2 linked regions of the Anolis sagrei genome follow. The main gene of each other region encodes a partner of the protein of the gene in region 2 in a complex. Links are inferred from orthologs where the notes say so. Each region holds a gene or a part of one and is shown on either strand. Other genes may lie near its edges.

Region 1 (7,612 bases), on a different chromosome or scaffold from region 2:
CCATCCTTTGTTGCAGCCACAGTCCCCTAATGGTCAGCTATTGCTTCCCCATGGAAGACCCTCCGTCCCTCCCATTGACACTGCCCCTTCCTTCCTCCCCCCAAAAGACCCTTCCTGCCCTTGCTCCATTCTTTTTTATTGAGGCTTTAATGGCGTTGCTGGCCTGGAGGGTCTCTCTCCTCACAGAGATCTCAAGATGGGTCAGGAAAGGTCATTGCTGGGTCCGGGACCCCTCCTCCTGCTGACCCAAAGGGTTCCTCTTCCCAGAGAGGAAAGGAATATTCAACCCGAGTCCTCCCTTCTTTTCCTCAGCAACCACCTGAGACACACTTTTAGTTTAGTGGGATTCCAGACAGCAAACAAACCGGTGCCAGTGAACACCTCCTAAACAGAGGGTGCCTCCAGGCAACAACACTGACTGGCTTTGCAGCTTCATGGCTACTCAAGCTTGCTCGTTGCAACACTCGCACTCGCTTCACACAGGCAAGGGTTCTTTCTCTGACCCGGGACTTCATTCCACAAGTAGATGGGTAGATAGATAGATACATCTACACTCCGCTGGCCTCATTTCCAAAAGACCTCTGAACAAACCTCTCAGGATGCCTGCCACAGATGCAGGAGAAATGTCAGGAGAGAATGCTACTGGGACATATCGGCCAAAAAACTCACAGCAGCCCACTTTTAGTTATTTTATTGTGTCCCTGATCGGCTCACGTGCCATCAGGGGAAAGGTCCCCTCTTGATTATTTACTTCCATTTGTTCCAATTGGAGGGGGGTCAAGGAAGGTCAGGGCTGGTCACTCCTTTTCCGGTTGCCCCTCATTGCTGAGGACCTGCCAGAGACCCCTCCCCAAAAACTCTCCCCAGAAGACCCCTGCTCTCTGCTCTGCCCTTTGTCATTGAGGCGCTTGCTTCGAGGGTCTTGCTGGTCTGGAGCGTCACTCTCTTCCTAGAGAACGGACGGTCAGTCACTGCTGGTCACTCCTGCTGCTGCTGCTCCAGGGGGCATCCACCTCTTGGGCCGGAAGGGCAGCAAGACCCAATTGGATGTGAGTCCTGGAAGGTCACTGCTGGAGACCCCGAGTCATGGAGACCCCAAGTCATGCAGACCCCAAATTGGGCCACTGCTGGTCACTCCTGCTGCTCGCTCTCTAGCCCCCCCACACCTGCTGACCCACCTGCTGACCCATAAGGGCAGCAAGACCCAACTGGAGGCAAGTCACTAAAGGTCACTGCTGGCTGGAGCATCGTTCTCTTCATGGAGACCCCAAGGTGGGCTACTGCTGGTCACCCCTGCAGCTCGCCCTCTAGCCCCCCCACACCTGCTGACCCACCTGCTGACCCGTAAGGGCAGCAAGACCCAACTGGAGGCAGGTCACTGAAGGTCACTGCTGGCTGGAGCATCATTCTCTTCATGGAGACCCCAAGTTGGGCCACTGCTGGTCACTCCTGCTGCTTGCCCTCTACGGCCTCCCCACCTGCTGACCCGGAAGGGCAGCAAGACCCAAGAGGAGGAGGGTCAGGGAAGGTCACTGCTGGCTCCTCTTCCTCCTGTCGACCCGGAAGGGGCCCCCGTGCCCGGGCACGATGATGTCGGCCAGCTCTAAGGCCCGTGCCCGGCTCTGTGCCTGCCTGGCGGGGTCTTCGCTGAGTTCTTCCCAGACGCCCTCGTCCCCCTCCCGCTCGAAGAGGTCCCCGGCCAGCAGGACGTCCCCCAACTCCGTGCCGCGCACCAGGAGGCTGACGTCGGCGGCGGTGTGTCCCGGGGTGGGCAGCACCTCCAGGTGCCCCTCGTGCAGGACGTAGGGCTGGCCCTGGCGCAGCCCCGTGGGCAGGTAGCGCCCCCCCGGGAGGGAGACGTCCGTCCCCATCACCAGCTGCGCCGAGGGGAAGAGGTTGAGGTTCCCGGCGTGGTCGGAGTGGCCATGGGTGCAGACCAGGTGCCGCACCTCCCCCGGGGAGACCCCCCGCGCGGCCAGGTTCGCCAGCAGCCGCTCCCGGCCCCAGGGCCCCCCCGTGTCCACCAGGGTCGGCTGCGGGCCCAGCACCAGCCCCACCGTCCCCTCCGCCCGCATCCCGCCGTCCGGCAAGGCCTCCGAGAAGCCCTCTTGCAGCACCACCACCGAGTACGGGGAGCCCCCCATCACCAGAGGGACGGCCGATGACGGCGATGACATTATCCTCCTCAGGAGTGGAGGGGCTTCTTCCTGGGGGAGAGAGGAGAGAGACTACGGTGTAGGTGAGTTATTTATTGTTGTATTGTTGTTGTTCCCTACCTCACTCATTCCAGGTGTTTTGGACTTCAGTCCTTGTAAGCCGGACCGAGTCCTGCGGGAGATGGTAGCGTGGTATAAATAAAGGATTATTATTATTATTATTATTATAGATTTACAGGTCTTCCTTCCCTACCTCACTCATTCCAGGTGTTTTGGACTTCAACTTCTAACAGCCAATAATAATAATAATAATAATGATAATAATAATATAAACATATTATAGTATAATGTAATATAACAATAATATAATATATTATTAAACATTATATTATGAAAATAATATAATAATAAATATAACAATATTATCAAACAATAATAAAACAAAAAACGATAAAACATTAACAAATAATACAATATTATTAAAATAATATAATAATAACATATTATAGTATAATGTAATACAATAATATAATAATATATTAATAAATTTTATATTATGAAAATGATATAATAATAAATATAATATTATCAGACAACAATAAAACAAAAAACTGATAAAAATTAACAAATAATACAATATTATGAAAATAATAATAACATATTATATAATAATGTAATACAATAATATAATAATATATTAATAAATTTTATATTATGAAAATGATATAATAATAAATATAATAATATTATCAAACAACAATAAAACAAAAAATGATAAAACACTAACAAATAATACAATATTATGAAAATGGTATAATAACATATTATATTATAATGTAAAAAATAATAATAGAATAATATATAATTAACATTATATTATGAAAATAATACAATAATAAATATTATAATATTATCAAATAATAAAACATTAAAACCATAAAATATTAACAAACAATACAAGATTATGACGATAATATAATAATAAAAACAATACTATTATAAAACAATATAATAAATACAATATTATTATTATAAAACAATGACAAAACAAAACAAAAATAATAACATGTTATGATAATAATGTAATAACTACAATATTGTTATGAAACCATAAAAGAATAATACAATAATTAATTAATAACATAATATTATGAAAATGATGTCATAAATATAACAATATTATCATTATAAAATAATGGTAAAACGATAAAATAGTAATAAATATTTAAATAATATAAAAATGATAAATTAATAATATTAAAACAAGATATTATTATTATTATATGAAAAATAATATATATAAAGAAATATAATAATAATAATAATAATAATAATATAATGATACCGGTTGTGAGGAATGGTGGGAGTAGCCGAGTTTTCCCTTCCTCAACCAACTCGTGTCAAGCCTCAGGAGCGACTAGCCCTTTTGGGCAGGCGCAATGGAGCCGGAAGTGCATGGGCGGAGCATGGGGGCGAGAGCGCCCCGCTCTAGGAGTCCATCCTCGTCTCGGTGGCGCCGCGCCTGCGCAGTGTGTGTGTGTGGGGGGGGGAAAGCCATCGGCCGGCCTTGAGGCGGGAGCGCCGCTCTAGGAATCTCCCCTCCTCTCGGTGGCCACGATCAACTCGAGCCAAGCCTCAGGAGCGACCAGTTCTTTTGGGCAGGCGCAGTGGAGCCGGAAGAGCATGGGCGGAGCCTGGGGAGAAATCGCTCCGCTCTAGGAGTCCGTCCTCGTTACGGTGGCGCCGCGCCTGCGCAGTGGGGAGGAAGGAAAGGCATTTGGAGGGACTTGCGGCGGCGGGAGTGCCCGCTCTAGGAATCTCCCTTCGTCTCGGTGACGCCGCGCCTGCGCAGTGGGAGGAGGGAAGCCATTGGCGGGACTTGCGGCAACGCCCACTCTAGGAGTCAGCCCTCGTCTCGGTGGCGCGGCGCCTGCGCAGTGGGAGGAGGGAAGCCATTGGCGGGAATTGCGGCGGCACCCGCTCTAGGAATCTTCCTTCGTCTCGGTGGCGCGGCGGCTGCGCAGTGGGGGGAGGGAAGCCATTGGCGGGGCTTGCGGCGGCACCCGCTCTAGGAATCTTCCTTCGTCTCGGTGGCGCGGCGCCTGCGCAGTGGGAGGAGGGAAGCCATTGGCGGGGCTTGCGGCGGCACCCGCTCTAGGAATCTCCCTTCGTCTCGGTGGCGCGGCGGCTGCGCAGTGGGAGGAGGGAAGCCAATGGCGGGGCTTGCGGCGGCACCCGCTCTAGGAATCTCCCTTCGTCTCGGTGGCGCCGCGCCTGCGCAGTGGGAGGAGGGAAGCCATTGGCGGGGCTTGCGGCGGCACCCGCTCTAGGAATCTTCCTTCGTCTCGGTGGCGCGGCGCCTGCGCAGTGGGAGGAGGGAAGCCATTGGCGGGGCTTGCGGCAACGCCCACTCTAGGAGTCAGCCCTCGTCTCGGTGGCGCGGCGCCTGCGCAGTGGAAGGAGGGAAGCCATTGGCGGGTCTTGAGGCGGCGGGAGCTCCCGCTCTAGGAGTCCGCCCTCCTCCGGCCGGGGAGTGAGGGAGTGAGGGAAGGGGCGATGGCGGAGGAGAAGCGTGCGGGGAAGGGGGGCGGCGGAGGGGGCGGCGGCGGTGGTGTGGCGGGGCAGGTGCCCCCGGAGTCTGTGAAGGCGATGGCGGAGGCGGTGGGCCTGGCGGCGCTGCCCGAGGAAAGCTGCCAGCTCCTGGCCGAGGAGGTCAGCTACCGCCTCAAGCAGGTCGCCCAGGTCAGAATAAGGGGGGGGGGGAAGGGGCAGGGACCCCTCCCCCACACACAGGCACAAGGGGACTCTGGGACTCCACTTTGTCTTCTGTGCTATGCTAATAGCATATCTGACACTCTCTGAATACACCATCTCTGTCCTTCCCATGGAGCAAAGCATGGCGGGTGGAACAGACTCCTCAGGTCTGCCACACTTTGAGCATTATTAGACTGAGTCTTTTATAGGAATATTCTCTTGATGTCGTCCCAAAGCTGTAACCGCATCTCCATCTACGAACCCACACGCTCACTCCGGTCATCTGGGGAGGCCCTGCTCGTGATCCCGCCTACGTCGCAAGCGCGCTTGGTGGGGACACGGGACAGGGCCTTCTCTGCGGCGGCCCCCCGACTTTGGAATGCCCTTCCAAAAGAGCTTCGTCAGGCCCCTACCCTAGCAGTTTTCAGAAGGAACCTAAAAACTTGGCTGTTCCGATGTGCCTTCGCAGATTAGGAATCCCCATCCCAAGTCCTAGAAGCACTTTAGCACAACTATTGTTGCTGCACACCGCACTTTTAATCTTACGTTCCTCCTGCCATCTCAGCACTTTTAACCCTGCACCCCATTGCGCTGGCCGAACCAGTTTTAATAATGTCTTGATGTATTGTCATTGTGGTTATTTTGCTTAATTGTTTTGATTTGCTTTGTTTATTGTTGTGTTATGTTTCTATTGTATTGTATTTGAGGCTTCGGCCCGTGTAAGCCGCATCGAGTCCTTCGGGAGATGCTAGCGGGGTACAAATAAAGTTAATAAATGAATGGTAGCCAGATGTTGATCTTCTTGATTGGTGTTGACAAACACAAGGCTTGTGTTGACTTCCTTCTTAACATAAGGAAGGTTGCAAACATTTCCTTAACTTGAAAGAACCATTGTCACGGTTTTATTAGAGTTTACTTTGTAGTTCTTATTAGCAACCTTTAATTACAGTCCAGCAAATGTCACAGTCCTTATCAGAGTTGACTTTTCAGTTCTTATTAGCAACTTTTAATTACAGTCCAGCAAACAGGTAGTTAGTCATTGCAGGCCTTCATATTTTACTGGTGCTTCCAAAATTATTAAATCCACTCATTAGGGTTGGGCGGTTTTGTTTCGTAATTTCGTAATTCGTTAAAAATTCGTTATTTTTTTTAAAATAACGAAGCGATATTGAACCATTCAGGAGCAACTAAAAAACGAAACGAATTTTTCCAATTCTTTTCGAAATTGATTCGTTATTGATTTGTTATTGATTCGTAAATGTTTCGTTATTATTTCCGCATGTCTGGTGCACGTTTTAGGGTTGCTGTTTGTTTTCTCAGTGAAAAAAAAATATAATTATCACACCAACAGTCAACAACAGAGGGAGAGGGAAGCTTCAGAAGTTTTTTTAGCGTATTGAGCGATCGCGGCCGCCATTAACGAATCGATTCGTAATCGATTCATAATTGTTTTGTAATTGGTTTTTTGATTTCCGAAATTTTGTAAATATCGAACTTTTTTAAAGGAAAATTTCGGAATTCTTTTAAATAACGAAACGCAAAAAACCCCTAAAAACGAATCGAGTTTAGAAACAAATTTTTCCGTGTTTGGACAGCCCTACCACTCATACCTTCATCTTCCATTCTTCCATTCATTCCTACACATAATATTCAATTCACATTTCTCAAATTTTGGTGACACCTCCTCTCCCCCCCCCCCCAGACATCCACAAGGCCCCTTCGTGACGGAGACTCCCCTTTCCCTGTTTCCCCTGCAGGAGGCGCTCAAGTTCATGCGGATGGGCAAGCGGCGCAGCTTGGCCACTGCCGACCTTGACTGTGCCTTCAAGCTCAAGAATGTGGAGGTCAGTCTCTGGGGAGGGGAGGGGGTGGGGCTTCTGTGTGTGAGAGGGAGGGTCTTGGGGGCATGGCTTCATCGAGAGAGAGGCGGGGCTTAGAGAAGGGGGCAGAACTTCACTGAGTGGAGGGGCTCGCTTGTGAGAGGGATGGCTTCCTTGATTAGGGGTCTGTAGGGGTGTGGCTTTATTGAGAGAGGGGAGGGGCCCAGGGAAAAGAGGGATGTAGCCTGGAGAGGGGGGGGCTTCCTTGAGGGAGAGGGAGGGTTCTAGGCAAGTCTTTCCCCATTAGGGATTTGGAGGGGGCGGGGCTTCATTGGAGAGGGGAGGGGCCAGGAAAGGGGGTGTGGCTACTTATGGGAGGGGGCAAGCCTTTGCCTTGACAGTCCCTCCCCTTCTCCCCCCCCCAGCCAAGAGAGGGCATGAAGGGGGTGCCTCTTTGAGAGTGGGAGGGGCCTAGGGGAGGGTTCCCTTGATTAGGGGACTGGCGGCAGGGCTTCCTTGAGTGAGGGGCGGGGCTTCCTCTGGCCTTGCCTTGACACGCCCCACCCCTTCTACCGCCCAGGGAGGGGAGGGGCTTCCTTGAGCCCCCCTTGGAGTCTGGATTGAGGCTCCCCGGTCCTGAGAGAGGGAGGGGGCGGGGTCTAGAGAAGGGGCGAGGCTTCCTTGAGTAAATGGGAGGGGCCTAAGGAGGGTGTTCCTTGATGTGTGGCCTGGAGGGGGCGGGGCTTAGCTTTGACTCCTCCCCTTCCCTTTGCAGCCCTTGTACGGCTTCTGCGCACAGGAGTTCATCCCCTTCCGCTTTGCCAGCGGTGGCGGGCGCGAGCTGTACTTCTACGAGGAGAAGGAGGTGGACCTCAGCGACAT
Region 2 (7,043 bases):
TTCTTCACTAAGTATTTATCCCACCTTGCCCACTGAAATAATAAATGGCATGTCACATTGAGATGGTGTTGGTTCTCCTGGTAGGGAACATACTAAACTCTTTCACCAGTGAGTTGACTTGATGGATAAAGGCATCTGCAGTTAATTTCCCCTCTACTTACTGCAAATGTATTGGAAGTGGTAGCTTGAACTCAAAGGCACAATCAACCTTCAATCATAAGTTCTGATTTGCATTCTGTTGCTGCAATATTTCAATTTTGTATCTGTGTCTGGTGCAAGTTTTATATATGTGTGTGTGTGTTTGATCAAAATTGTTTATTTTATATATTTTATGTTAATATGTTTTTGACTATGTTGTATCCCGCCTCGAGCCATCAAGAGATACAAGTAATAAGAAATTTATAATTTTTATTACTATTATCATTATTACTTGAACTCTGGAATATGTCAATGTGTGATTTCCTGTATTCTTTTCCTATACTATTTACACCATGCTCATACTTGAAAGCATTGCACTAAATCAAATTAGTTCCAACTAGAATAGCCCCATTGAACCAGTGGGACTAACATATGTGTTGATTTATTATCCAGCAGCTGATGTACTGGGGCCCCTTCTACACTGTCATATAATCCAGATTATCGAAGCAGATAAATCACATTATCTGCTTTGAACTGGATTATATGAATCTACACGATCACATAATCCAGTTGAAAGTAGAGAATCTGGACTTTATATGGCAATGTAGAAGGGGCCTGGGAGTACTCTAATTAGTACTAACAATTTAATATAGCCCATTATCTTGTCAGATGTAGGGTGTATCTATGCTGTCAAATTAATGCAGTTCCATAGCACTTTAATTCTCATGGCTCCATGCTATAGAATCCTGGGACTCTGCCAAAGAGTGCAGGTGCCTCAACACAGGCTCTCTTGAGCTCATTTTGCTGATGTCAATTAAACAACATTAAACAGGGCTCTGAAAATGAAATTTTCAGTACAGGTTCATCAAGTTAGGCTAGATTGCTATCACATCTGAAGTATGCTTCAGAGACAAGTATGTGCTGGCCATTGCTCCCCTCCCTCTTGTTATAGTCAGTTGTAAACAAATTCTCCACATATCTAGAATGTGAAGAAAAGCTGTTGTGGGTTGCTGTGAGTTTTCTGGGCTGTATGGTCATGCTCCAGAAGCATTATCTCCTGACGTTTCACCCACACATATGGCAAGCATCCTCAGAGGTTGAGGAATCTGTTGGAAACTAGGCAAGTGAGGTTTATATATCTGTGAAATGTCCAGGGTGGGAGAAAGAACTCTTGTCTGCTTGAGGTAGGTGTGAATGTTGCAAATGGCCACCTTGAGTAACATTTAATGGCCTGGCAGCTTCAATGCCTGGCTGATTGCTGCCTGGGGGATTCTTTTGTTGGGTGGTGTTACCTGATGGAGTATTGTCTGGAATTCCCCTGTTTTCAGAGTGGTGTTCTTTATTTACTGTCCTGATTTTAGAGGGTTTTTTAAAATACTGTTAGCCAGATTTTGTTAATTTTCATGCCTAGTTTCCAATGTATCCCTTAACCTCTGAGGATGCCTGCCACAGATGTGGGCAAAATGTCAGGAGAGAATGCTTCAGCAGCATGGCCATAAAGCCCGGAAAACTCACAGCAACCCAGTGATTCCGGCCACTAAAGTCTTCGACAACACAAAAGCTATCATGCTTTTAGGAAAGTAATAGAATATTTGATTTTCACCAGAGATTTAATAATATTAGCAACTCTGAGGCTATATAGACCCAAGTGCCTGCATGCCTTTGATTTTCATACATACGAGGGGTGTCCATTAAAGATTTCCCCAACCCTCTTCTATTTATCACAGGATGCTGAAACTGCACATGTGTAATGATATAAGTCTCTATACGTTTGTGCCAATTTACACCTCAGAACGGATAACAGTCTTGATTTTACAGGTGTTGAAGTGGTGTGAGGTTTGATAATGGACCCAGTGGAATACATAGCAATCCTCAAGTTCCTTTACTTGAAAGGCTGCATACCAAAGGAGGCGTTAAATAAGATGAAAAAGGTTTATGGTGATGATTCTCCATCATATGAGGTAGTCAAGAACTGGCATCGTCAATTCAGATGTGGTCAGACTTCGGTGGAAACAGCTCCAACTCTAGGAACAACCCATTCTGCTATTGATGAACACATCATCCAGCAAGTGGAGGTCACCATTTTGGAAAATTGCCATTCACCACCTAGCCTGATATGTCAAGATTATTGTGGAGTCTTTGGAAAAAATCTCCCAAGACCATCTTCACATGCATAAGGTATCCTCTCGCTGGGTCTAGGTAGAGAAGGACTAATAACTGTGTCAAGTTTGATTGCTCTCAGTCCACAGGAAGTGGGTCAGGGAAAATCTTTAATGAATGCCCCTCATATCTGTTGTTTCGACATTTCTGTTCACTGAAGGCTACAACTGAAAGAAAGATGGTAGAAAACCATGCCTCACATGTGTGTTAATTTAAAACATACCAAAGCGTGCCTGAATCCTGACCACCTCAGTATTGAGGAAGTTCTCAAATACACAACTAAAACATCTCCTTGGACAGTGATAATACAAACAAAATAGGTTGAGCATCATTTATCCAAAGTTCTGGAATATGAAACATGCCGAAATTGTCCGTATGGGCAGCTGTGCTTTTTGATGGTTCAATGTACACAAACTTTGTTCAAGGCACAAAAATATTGTGTGTAGAATTGCTTTTGGCCTATGTGTATATGGTGTATATGAAACACAAATGAATTTATTGTTTAATCAGGTTCCATATTCAAGATATTTTGTGCATAGAAGGCATGATAATTAAGTTTGCAGATGACACCAAATTGGGAGTGATAGCCAATATTCCAGAAGACAGGAGCAGAATTCAAAACGATATTAACAGATGAGATGGGCCAGAACTAACAAAATGAAGTTTAACAGTGACAAATGCATGATACTCCAGTTAGGCAGAAAAAAAAATGAAATGCAAAGATACAGAATGGGGGATGCCTGGCTTGAGAGCAGTACATGTAAAAAAGATCTTGGGGTCCTCGTGGACAACAAGTTAAACAAGAGCCAACAATGTGATGCGGCAGCAAAAAAAGCCAATGGGATTTTGGCCTGCATTAATAGGAGTATAGCATCTAGATCCAGGGAAGTAATGCTACCCCTCTATTCTGCCTTGGTTAGACCATAACTGGAATACTGTGTCCAATTCTGGACACCACAATTGAAGAGAGATATTGACAAGCTGGAATGTGTCCAGTGAAGGGCAACTAAAATGATCAAAGGTCTGGAGAACAAGCCCTGTGAGGAGCGGCTTAAAGAACTGGGCATGTTTACCCTGCAGAAGAGAAGGCTGAGACACGATAACCATGTATAAATAAGTGTGGGGAAGTCACAGTGAGGCGGGAGCAAGCTTGTTTTCTGCTGCCCTGGAGACTAGGACACGGAACAATGGCTTCAAACTACAAGAAAGGAGATTTCATCTGAACACTAGGAAGAACTTCCTGACTGTGAGACCTGTTCAGCAATGGAACCCTCTGCCCTGGAGGCTTTTAATCAGAGACTGGATGGCCATCTATTGGGGGTGCTTTGAATTCAATTTTCCTGCTTCTTGGCAGGGGGTTGGAATGGATGGCCCACGAGGTCCCACGAGGTCTCCTCCAGTTCTAGGATTTGAAAAAATAAAATAGAAATGTTTTTGATCCCAAGCATTTCGGAGAAGGGCTGCAGCTTGGGGCACATCTACACTGTAGAATTAGTGAAGTTTGACACCGCTTAATGCTATGAACTTATGGGAGTTGTAGATTTGCAATTTTTTTTATCCTCCTCTGCCTCAGAGTGGTGGGACTTCACCAAACTACCACTCCCAGATTCCAATGCCGTTAAAAGTGGCATCAAATCCATACAGTGCAGTGCTGTAAGGACACAGTTGCTTCCATGAGAGCTCAGGCTTGGGCTGGCTTCTTCCGTTGCCAAGGAAACGAAAGGGCAAGGCGGCTGCGATGACGTCATCAGGGCGCGACAGAGGCCTTTCCCAGTATGGCGGAGCCGGCGGTGTCTCGCAGAGAAGAAGCCGTGCTTGTGTCCGGTGCGACTTCGGGCGAGGAGCCGCCTGTCTCTGCTGCGGGGGCGGCTGACGGGAAGGAGAAGGGCCCCGGGGAGCCGAAGGAGCGGGAAGCGGCGCCTGGAGAGGTGGGAAGGGAGGGGAGGGCCTTCTATGATCTTTCAGCTTTGAGCCAAGGCTGTTCTAATGGGAGCAGGCCGCATTTATGCTGCAGCAGGCCTGGGCAAACTTGGGCTCTCCTTCCAGGTGTTTTGGACTCCAACTCCCACCATCCCTCACAGCCTCAGGCCCCTTCAAACTGGTGGCCAGAGATAACAAACTGTCACAAAAAATGTGCAAAATAAAGCCCTCAAGGTGCATCAGTGCTTTGTGTCATCATCATGCAGGCTTCAGATTCATTCCAGGATCTCCTAAGCAACCATCTACACAGCAAAACCACGTTTTTCAATACTGGTTTGAAGCAGCATTAAATGGTCAGTGTAGATGTGCCCTGTGTTATCTGAAAATTGTGTCACCCCCCAGAACTGTTTTTGCAAATTCAAAGGAAAGGGGCTGCATGGAGAATGGAGGATTGCACACTGTGATGGAACCCCTCTTCAGGTTGATGTCGTGTTCAAACCCTTGAGATTTTCCCAGGCTCAGGCAGGCCTTCAAATGCTAATGAAGGTGGTCAGTTGAAACATTCACACCTAGCTCTAGCAGGGAAGAGCTCTTTGCCCCACCCCAGCCATTCCACAGATATATAAACCCATTGTCCTATTTCCAACAGACCTCACTACCTCTGAGGATGCTTGCCATAGATGCAGGCGAAACGTCAGGAGAAATGCCTCTAGAACATGGCCCTATAGCCCGAAAAAACCCACAAGAACCTAGTGATTTCAGCCATGAAAGCCTTCGACAATACCTTGAGCTTCTGTCACTCATCTTGCCCTTTTACCTTAAAGATTCCCTCCCAGGACCTGATACTGAGGCTTCATGGAGACCACTGCACTGGGCAAGTGAATGGGTGATCAGTGATAAAAGGGCAACCACCTCTAGTTCAAAGAAAGTCATTTCTCCTTGAACCTTTACAACTCTTTCAGCTCCCTAAAACCTATTACAATTTTATGAATCCATCTCTTTCTACAAGGTCCTGAGTTTTATCCATATTCCTGTGTTTCTGAAGGACCCCGGCTCTTTAACAGACAAGCCTCTACATCAGAACTTTTAAAACATTTTCCACTTGCAACCCCTTTCTGTCTGATAATTTTTATGCGATCCCAGGTATATAGGTATATAAAATAGGTATAAAAATTACACATTTACTGATAATAAATCAGCATTTGCAAGGCTTGCTAAACAGAATGATTTTACTTTTTGAAAAGTATAGCTGAAACATTTTCAGCGGAATCCACTGTAAACACTGTTGCTAACAGTTTTGTGTAAATCGGTGGTATTCAGAACCTTTTACTGCTGCCACCCCAAAATTGACTTTATTTGGGGTCAGGACCCACAGTTTAAGAAGCAATGATCTATATTTTCTCCTTTCCACTACAAGTCTCTCATCACAGCATTCTGTAATTGTAATAGGCTGGCTCTTTACTTCACACACACACTTCCCAGTTAGACCTGGCCCTGCCATTCTGCCAGAAGAATGCTATCTTTGTGTTTTGCCCATTTAAGACAGATTCTTAAATTGAATTTTTTAGTGTTTATCAGCTATGATTTATAAGTTCTGTCATGAGTTATGGTTAGACATTTAAGAACTATGTTAGGATTATAGCTAAGCTGAAAATAATTTTCTTCTTAGATCAGAACTGAGGATTCTGTAGGTCTGCTCACAGGAGAGACAGAGGAGTCAACATCTTCTGCAAGCAAGAAAGTAAAAATAGAGATAAAAGATAAAAAAGATAAAAAGAATAAAGTTGATGAAGATGAGATTCAAAAAATGCAGTGAGTACTCTTATTTTACCTGATGCATAACTTTCGTTGTTCCTAATAACCTGTAGAAGACTAAACTTGCTAGTGAACAATATTGTACTTTTTTGTTTCGCGCTGTTATTTATTGGAGATACACGCTATTAAGCACTTGATGGGGCTTGCAACCTCTTTGTCTATGCTTCCCCCCCATAAAGATGGAAAAGCTTATTTCAAATAAGTATGTAATAATTACTCCTAAATTAATTTATTGATATGCATTCCTGTCCCTTTTAGACTATTTTTACGGGACTGGATCCAGAAAGCCAGTGCATGCATATTCCTTTGTCTGCAGTAGCAGTCTGTGCATCCCTTAAAAGTTTGGTTCCTGGTGTGAGATATCCCTGGGAGCACTGGAGGAAATAAAATTGAAATTAGTGAAACTGATGCTTCCCTCTCCCAATCAGCAGGAACATTCATAATGGAATATGCGTCAGAGCTACCATTGATGCAAACAAAGTCTGGAGTCAATCCATTCTTTTATCAATAGGAATTATGTTATGGTATTGTCTCTGACTTCCAAAGCTGTGTGCTTCCTGTAGCTTTAAGTGTGCTACCAGTTGTAGATCGAATGATGTCTCTAATTCCATGCTGTTATTGTTTTCCTCAAGAATACTAGTTTCCTCTTTTTCTGAAGAACAGCTAAATCGCTATGAGATGTATCGTAGATCAGCTTTTCCGAAGGCTGCTATTAAACGGGTAAGGTTGTGCTTTAGTCTGGTTTGAACTGTTTTAGATTTGCCTGTTGATTTGATCACTATGTGTAATATGAAGAATGTAGATGCAGTGTTTTGACTGGATAAAATCTGTCATTTTGACTTATCCCAGTCAGTGATGCAGCTACTAGGATTGTTATTACATAAGGATGTATAAGATTTAAAAATTACAAATGCACATTTATAAAACTGGATTTTGTATCCTTTCTCCTTTCTCAGTTGATCCAGTCAATTACTGGAACCTCTGTCTCTCAGAATGTGGTTATTGCCATG

Evidence for each region.
Region 1: TAF11 (region 2) and TAF6 share a complex: the UniProt entries of both Homo sapiens proteins name them as parts of the TFIID basal transcription factor complex. The link is inferred for Anolis sagrei from reciprocal best matches to the Homo sapiens genes TAF11 and TAF6.

The regions. Positions count from the first base shown.
Region 1 is NC_090026.1:539,771-547,382, reverse strand, and holds the start of TAF6 (transcription initiation factor TFIID subunit 6), read left to right. Parts: upstream 1-4,598; 5' UTR 4,599-4,712; coding exon 4,713-4,898; intron 4,899-6,667; coding exon 6,668-6,754; intron 6,755-7,505; coding exon 7,506-7,612. Other genes in the region: MBLAC1 (metallo-beta-lactamase domain-containing protein 1), read right to left, coding at 1,530-2,177. UniProt on the Homo sapiens protein: The TFIID basal transcription factor complex plays a major role in the initiation of RNA polymerase II (Pol II)-dependent transcription.
Region 2 is NC_090024.1:189,429,068-189,436,110, reverse strand, and holds the start of TAF11 (transcription initiation factor TFIID subunit 11), read left to right. Parts: upstream 1-4,039; 5' UTR 4,040-4,073; coding exon 4,074-4,226; intron 4,227-5,887; coding exon 5,888-6,030; intron 6,031-6,665; coding exon 6,666-6,753; intron 6,754-6,989; coding exon 6,990-7,043. UniProt on the Homo sapiens protein: The TFIID basal transcription factor complex plays a major role in the initiation of RNA polymerase II (Pol II)-dependent transcription.